Linked DNA regions of Rattus norvegicus. The protein of the gene in region 2 interacts with the protein of the main gene of each other region in a pairwise test. Links are inferred from orthologs where the notes say so. Each region holds a gene or a part of one and is shown on either strand. Other genes may lie near its edges. The genes, in order: Knstrn and Nupr1.

Evidence for each region.
Region 1: the proteins of Nupr1 (region 2) and Knstrn interact in a two-hybrid assay, tested with the Homo sapiens proteins (2 studies listed by BioGRID and IntAct). The link is inferred for Rattus norvegicus from reciprocal best matches to the Homo sapiens genes NUPR1 and KNSTRN.

The regions. Positions count from the first base shown.
Region 1 is NC_086021.1:126,257,504-126,261,314, forward strand, and holds part of Knstrn (small kinetochore-associated protein), read left to right. Parts: intron 1-1,129; coding exon 1,130-1,256; intron 1,257-2,101; coding exon 2,102-2,149; intron 2,150-3,811. UniProt on the Homo sapiens protein: Essential component of the mitotic spindle required for faithful chromosome segregation and progression into anaphase.
Region 2 is NC_086019.1:190,643,164-190,647,360, forward strand, and holds Nupr1 (nuclear protein 1), read right to left. Parts: upstream 2,739-4,197; 5' UTR 2,653-2,738; coding exon 2,541-2,652; intron 2,201-2,540; coding exon 2,070-2,200; 3' UTR 2,057-2,069; intron 986-2,056; 3' UTR 703-985; downstream 1-702. UniProt on the Homo sapiens protein: Transcription regulator that converts stress signals into a program of gene expression that empowers cells with resistance to the stress induced by a change in their microenvironment.

The DNA.
Region 1 (3,811 bases), on a different chromosome or scaffold from region 2:
GCTGGAAAGAAATAGGGCAGCCTGACAGGTGCTGTGACGTGTAAATGTTAGACCGTGTGTGGGGATGGGTTACCTGGTCTGGCCCAGGAAGGAGATCAGCAGAAGTGCCAAGTAGGAACCTCTTAATGGAATCAATAAAGGACGAGAATTGTGGAAGGGCGAGAGGCTGGCATGGGGAGAGGAAATAGTTTATATATACAGGGCAGTGAAACAGATGCTGTAGCTGACATGTTCTCTCTATTCCACTTATGGTTGATTCCTGAACTTTGGTCGTATACCTGATATTTCCCATGAAGATGTCTCAGAGTGGTTGGGAAGACATTTTGGTGAAAGTAGGCAGCACTTAAGAGAAAGCAGCTAGATGTTGACTGGGGAGAAAGGATGTGGGAACCTTGAGGGGGCAGTTGCAATTGGGTTCTTCCTCCTGTCTCCAAATTCACACGGCTGTAGCCGGTCAAGTGTGGTGTATCAGTAGTCACACAGAGCTGTCCCTTGCCATGAATTGTGTGTGTCAGTGCACACCTTGTTGCAGGACATTTGATCACATTGTGAACCCCGAGATTGGGAACTGGAAAACCTGTTTCTTGTGGTGTGGCTCAGCCCTAGCACACATTTAACCAAAGAGCTTTCTGTAGACAAGGGTTAAATGAAGTCAGTGACAGGTCAAGAGGCGGGGCAAGCATCCAGTTGACAGTGAACTTCAGAAAGCCCAGGAAAGAGAAAGGAAGGCCTGTGAGTGGAGGGGATTTAAGAGAGCATGGAGAGGGAGCTTTGCCCTCTAGGACATCAGTGGAGTAGGACAGTCAGCTAGGTGCTTTCTCTGTCTCTCTGAACTAGCAGCCTTTCAACTCAGCGCCTGGCTCCTGAGTCCTCATAGGTAAATCAAACGTTGGGGATTTTGTTTTATAAACAACACACTACAAACCCAGCATTTGGAGGCAGAGTCAAGAGTAGTCTCTACATTTTTAGAGCAAATTGGCGTAGAGACTTTCTTTGGACTTTCTAGTCCTATACTAAGATTTGACAGTATGAAAATAAGGGATTGTGGTAACTCAGAGTGAGGCTGTGTGTGGCACAGTGAGGAAGCTGGTGGGTCATGCTGTGGTTTCACGCCTGTTTTCCCTTTCAGATACACAAACTCGAGCTACTTCTAAGCTACCTGTTAAATCCAAAGACGCTGAGATGCTTAGACATCTTCATACGGGAGGCTTAGAGCCTGACGTTACAAAAGTCACCAAACCAAGACGAGAGAACGGGTGAGAGCAGATTGCTGACATTTGGTTATAACACCTCGAGAGAGCCCAAGGGCTTGCCCTGTGTGTGTGTGTGTGTGTGTGTGTGTGTGTGTGTGTGTTTAAGGGCCCTGGTTGACTTTCTAGCAGAGAGGTGGAGGGACAGAGAGAGATACTGATTTTTCTAGAAATTGCTGAACACCAAAAATGTTTAATAGAGACTGAAGAGATGGCTTAGCAGTTCTGAATTTGAGAGTACCTTCTGTTCCTAGCACCAGCACCGTGACTCAAATCCATCTCTAACCTAGTTTCAGGAAACCCAGTGTCTTCTTCTGACCTCTCTTGGTTCCAGGCACACATTTGATGCATATATACATGTAGGAAAGATACCCATCCACATAAAATAATCTGGCCAAACAGTCATAGCCTGAAAGCTGAGGCCGACTGTAAGCCTTATTCACGGGCCTGAGCAGGGTCCAGCCCCCGCATCTAGCATGAACATGTGACTCTAGCAGTGACCCTCTCCCATGTGACTGTGGTTGGCATGAGACAGCCGTAGAATCAGAAGCAGGCTCAGGTCATCAGGTCGTTGGGGGTGAAACCAGCGTGCATGGGCTCAGCAGCATGCATGGGCTCAGCTCTCAGCCCGAGCTGTTTACTGGGATGTGCACTTTGGTTCTTCCCTCAGAAACTCTTAAACCAGGTGTGATAGCGTGCACCTGCCATCCCAGAAGCGAGGAGGCTGAGGCAGGAGGATTAGGATTTCAAACCCTGTCTCAAAACAGCAAAGAAGCCAAGCCCTCATTTGCACCTTCTTTGTAGCACCAAGCACTGTGGTTCTCTGATGAACTTTGATTCTGCTTCCATAGGCAGGGGAAAGCTGCGGAGACTGCCAGCCGGAGGAACATCAGAAGCAGGTGAGCTGGGGACACACACACACACACACACACACACACACACACACACACACACACAACGGGGGACTGAGGGTGGAGGCTTGCAGTTGTGGCTACAGATGGCAGTCACATTAGGCTTGTGTGATGCCTGTTCTGAGTGGAATTTCGGGGATAAGACTCAAGGTGTAGAACCACCATCAGGGGAAGATCAGTGGCACCGTCATCCTGAGCAGTCGTCTTGGCAGGAAACCCAAAAGCTATTTTTAAGACAAGACTTTTGAAGGTTTTACCTGTATATGCGAGCAGGTAAGTGCAGATGCCTGGAGAGAATGGGACCTCCACTGAAGCTGGAATGATAGGCAGTTACGAGCTGCCTGATGTGAGTGCTAGGAACTGAGGTTGCATCCTCTAGAAAAGCAGCGCATGCTCTTCACCACTGAGCCATCTGCAGCCCCCGTGACCGGAAGAGGCTTCTTTGTAGGTGTGTTGGCTTAAGCCTGTAATAGGAGCCTGTAATAGGCTTAGGAAACCGAGGCAGGATTCCCACAAGTGCAGGGCTATCCTAGGCTGCACTCCAGGCCAACTAGGGTTGTGGGGAGTGCTGGCTACTCTTACATCATTACAAGCCAGAGTCACTGGAGAAGAGGGACCCTCAACTCAGAAAATGCCTCCATAAGATTGGGCTGCAGACAAGCCTGTATGGCATTTTTTTAAATTAAAGACTAATGAGGCAGGGCTCAGCCCCTTGTGGGTGAGGCCATCCCAGGACTGGTAGTCCTGAGTTCTACAAGAAAGCAGGCTGAGCAAGCTATGTGTAGCAAGTCAGTAAGCAGCACCCATCCATGGCCTCTGCATCAGCTCCTGCCTCCAGGTTCATTCTCCATGTGGGTTCCTGTCCTGACTTCCTTCAGTGATGGACAGTGTCTTAGTTATGGTTTCACTGCTATGAAGAGACAACATGACCAAGGCAACTTTTTTTTTTTTCTTTTTTCTTTTTTTTGGAGCTGGGGACTGAACCCAGGGCCTTGCGCTTGCTAGGCAAGCGCTCTACCACTGAGCTAAATCCCCAACCCCGACCAAGGCAACTCTTAAAGGGTCAAAATTTAATTGGGGCTGGCGTACAGGTTTAGAGGCCTAGTCTATTATCATCAAGGTGGGTGCTTGGCAGCATCTAGGCAGGCATGGCATTGGAGGAGCTTAAGGAACATAGGAGAAGACTGGCTTCCAGACAGCAAGAGGGTCTTAAAACCCACTCCTCCAGTGACACGCTTCCTTCAACAAGGCCGCATCTCCTAATAGTGCCATTCCCTGGGCCAAGCATATTCAAACCACCTTCCATTCCCTGGCCCCCATAGTCTTGTTCAAACACATGAGTCTATGGGGGCCATACCTAGGCATAGCATAATGCAAAATACATTTAATCCAACTTCAAAAGTCCCCATAGTCTATAGCAGTCTCAGCAATGTTAAAAAAGTCCAAAGTTCAAAGGCTCTTCTGAGATCCATCCAAACACTTAACTCTGATCCCTTATAAAATCAAAATCAAGAAGCAGGTCATATACCTCCAACATCACAGGATGTACATTACCATTCCAAAACGTCCCAGTGACGAAATTCTGAACCAAAGTAAGACCAAAAACCAGCTGGGCAGACTCCCAACTCTGCATCTCCATGTCTGATGTAA
Region 2 (4,197 bases):
AGACCAGCCTCAATAAAATGGACTTAGCACCTGCAACTTAGGGATGTTTACTCACAGAGCTATTGTGTGTGCAAGAAAGAACATTCTACCTTGTTCGTCTGAGTGAAATTACAGGAGCCCAAACTCAGCCCTCAGGCAACTCTACACTTGTATCCAATTGTCTTTTCATTTGCCCCACGTTCGCCTGGAATTCTGGTCCTGGCACCCACCAACCCACCCTGCTTAAGGAGAACTTTCTCTTCAGTTCACCAAGCACCCTGCCCTGGAAGCCAGCCTGTCATTCCATGCTTGGATTTGAGCCCTCAGTTGCTTAAAACAAATCCTTTGCATATTTTAAACCTCAGGTTGTTGGGGTTTTTTTGTCATTTTGCAAATAGTATTAATAGAAACATTCTCTTCAAAAAGCAGCTCTACATAATAGGACCTCATTGTGCTCAAGAATGGGGAAGGGACTGGCCAGTTTGTCTCTGGGGCAGTATTGCAAAGAAACCGCAATTTCCCCAGAAGAGACCATAGAAACAGGCACCTCAAAGCATCTGCATACATTAGGTAAGGCAACAATACTGGACAACTGGTCACAGCCCCCTAAGCTACACAGTAAGAAAACTCCCATCCAGATAGTCTCCTAAGAGAGATACACCATGGACACAGCAAGATACAATACACACAAACACAACAAAGACAGCACAACACACACACAAATGCTGTCACTGTTGTACAGTTTATTGTTACTGCCACCCAAGGGCATCCAGTTTTTCCCACTGTTCTTTTTGGGGGTGCCTTCTTAGCTCTGCCCATCTACCCTCTGCTTCTCGCTCCTAACTTGCCCTTTAGCTGGGTCCGGAAGGGCTTTTTTTGGTGTTCCCTCTCCAGAGCCTCACTTAGGTGGGAAAGAATCAAGCAGGCCTAGGTCCTGCTTACAACTCCTAATTTCTCCAAGGTCCTGTATCCATTGCTGGGTGTGGTGTCCGTGGTCTGGCCTCATCTGTGGAGAGGGAAAGCAGATGATGAAAGGGACAGAGATCAGAGTTTGAATTCCCACCTTCCTGCTCGTATTTTCTATAACTTTAGAGAAGTACTTGGCTCTCTCTGCCTCAGTCTCCCTTTCCATAAACCAAATTTCCCCTCCATTGGAAAGGCTCTCTGGGAAACTTTTCTCCCCTTTGGTTGCCAGGGAACTTCAGTCAAGTATGGGTCTCACATTGTTCTAGATGTAGATGACAGCACTATTTTTTCATTTACCGATTTGCTGATGTGTTTGCATGCATGTGGGCACATGTGTATTCTCCTGGGCAAGTGCTACTTTGTGGAGGTCGGAGGACATCGAGGGTACAGAGGTCCTTGTACTCACAGAGAAACACTAAGAACGAGAAATGTCGATCACACAGAGTGTCTCCTCAATGGAGGAGGCAAGTCAAATACTTGCATTCCATCTAGAAATCTGAGAGTGGACTTTTGTTAACAACCCAGTGACCTTTCTGCTCTGTGTGGAGTCAGACTTCCCCCCAGCTTTTGCTATAGAGGCAGACCTCACTCGAATTCTCCAGACTGATTATCCCAGACTCTTCCCTCCCTAGAGCATTCCCCGCTCTTAGGAGAGATGTCACATCTACCTGCTGAACTCCATGCTATTGGTAGAGACCACACTAGATCCTAGGTCCTTCAGCTGTACAGAACCCACCCTCAGGGTCACGTGTACTTTTAAATGAGCTTCCAAGTAGTCACACCTTACGCTTTACTGTGCTCCCGGAATTGGACTGATTGTTGCCTAGAAACCTCTTCCCAAGTTGAACTGTGTTTTAAATATGCTGACAATGAACCCTCCTGGCATCAGACACCCTGAAATCTGATCCAAGTTGATGGAAGTCAATCTGAATGGGGTTTTCATTCTTATCACTTCCCTGCCTGGGTATCTGCAGGGCCCCCTCAAGAACACAGCTTGCAGTTGTTCTCTCCCCTCTTTCATTATGCGGATCCCAGAGATCAATCAAGCATAGGTTGTCCTGCTTGGCTGCAAGTGCCTCCCTCACTGCCTCTCTGGCTCTTGACTCCTCACCTCCAGCTCTGTCTCAGCGCCAGGCCTTTTTCCTTTCAGAGTTCTGGAACTTGGTCAGCAGCTTCCTCTCATGCCCACCAGGGCTGGGGCGGTTGGTGTTGGCAGCAGCTTCTCTCTTGGTACGTCCTTTCCGACCTCCACCGACTGGTTGAGCAGGCGTTAGAGGAAACAGGGCAGAGGAGGTGTGTGAGGTTCAGGGGACAGGCAAATAAATAGCTGGGAGCTTAGGGGTGGGTAGGGCAGGATGGCCAGAATGTGATGGTCACCCTGTACATCTGAGGCACTCTACCCTAGCTGTTTACTCATGTCTAGAAGGAGAGACACTCACTTGTGAGTTCTTGGGGCTAAGGAAGACAAACTCAGTAGATGAGACTAGAAAGGGGGTACTTGGGAGTTGGGAATAGATTAGCTAATAGATTAGGTAAGATGGGGTTGGGGGTGAGAAGAGGGGAAGCTGACCAAGGAGCTGCCATGCAGACCTTACCGACATAAGATTGGGCCAGGCTGTACTGGTCATACTCATCCAGGATCCCATCTTCGTCCTCTATGTTTACAGGTTGCTGGGAAGTGTGGGCTGTTGGTGGCAAAGTGGCCATCATACCTGGTCTGCTTTCTCCAAAGTCTTGCCTGTTTTCCAAATGTCTGCCCTCTCCCAGTTCCCTCACCCCTACTTATAACGCTGTCTCCTCCTTAGACCATGGGGCTGGTTCCCGCCCTCCAAGCCCTGTCTGATGCAATCTGGCCTTTTTCCAGAACTGGGTCCATATACACCAGTCCTGAGCAGAGAGGAGCACCCTCCCCTTTCTCCTCCCTCACAGGACTCACCCAAGCCCAGCTGTGTTTTTCCACGTGGAAAGCTCCTGCCTCTGGGGGAGGAGGAAGCAGACAGGATCTGGGTACAAACAGTCTTTGGGATGTTGGCCAGAGAGAGCAGAGGGCCGCAGAACACACACACACACACACACACACACACACACACACACACACACACACATACACACACACATACACACACACATACACACACATACACACACATACACACATACACACATACACACATATACACACACACACTTACACATACACACACATACACACACATACACACACATACACACACATACACACACACATACATACACACACATACACACACACATACATACACACACATACACACACACAGAGTACATTGTACATTGTAGTCTGGTTCAGACTCAGGAGTTAGTGGCAGCATACCCACTGAAAAGGGAGGGAGGAGAGACACTGACCCACTTCTCGCTAAGTCAGCAGTTCCTGTCACAACCAAGGCTTCTATTTTTAAGGAAAGTCCCCTCACTTTACTTCAATAGAGTTCCCAGGGACTTCCTCCTCATCCAAGGTGGAGGATAGCTATCTGGTAGAGACAGCAAATACTCTGGATTCCACACTCTGATTCCTGATCCACCTCCCTCTGCCCTGCTTTCTGACAGAGGCCTTCTATGGAGCCCAGGTTAGCCCTTGAACTTGCAATTCTCCTGCCTCATCATACTAAACGCTGGAATTACAAATCAGCTCAGATCCAGTGTCTCCTGTGTGACCTTGGTCATGTTACTTTCCCTCTCTAGTTGCTTCAGTTTTCCCCTTTAACAGAGGATAACCCCATCTACCTCCATTGTGAGAGGCTGCAGGGACATGAGGCCTGGAAAAGCCTTCACAGCAGCTGGGAATGGTATAAGGATTAGTCATAATTTTCCATGGTTTCCCACACAGCCACACAGTGTTTTTGCTGTGACCAAAGGGGGGGGGGGAGATTTAAAATAAAATACTGTGGGCTGGCAAGATGACTCAATGGGTAAAGTACTTGCCGCCAAGCCTGGCAACCTGAGTTCATCGGTTTCCAGGACCCCAACAGTATGGGAGAGAAAAATCTCCCACAGAGTGTCCTCTGACCCTCCCATGCCCATTCACACACACACACACACACACACACACACACACACACACACACACACACACACACGATAACTGCATGTGACTTTTACATTCTAAATAATACATTGCTGTGGAGGGCATAATGAAATAAACAGGTGTTTGTGCTTTGACCCCCCTCTTTGTTTTAGTCAGAGTCTCACCTTTGAGCTGTGGCTGGCTTAGAA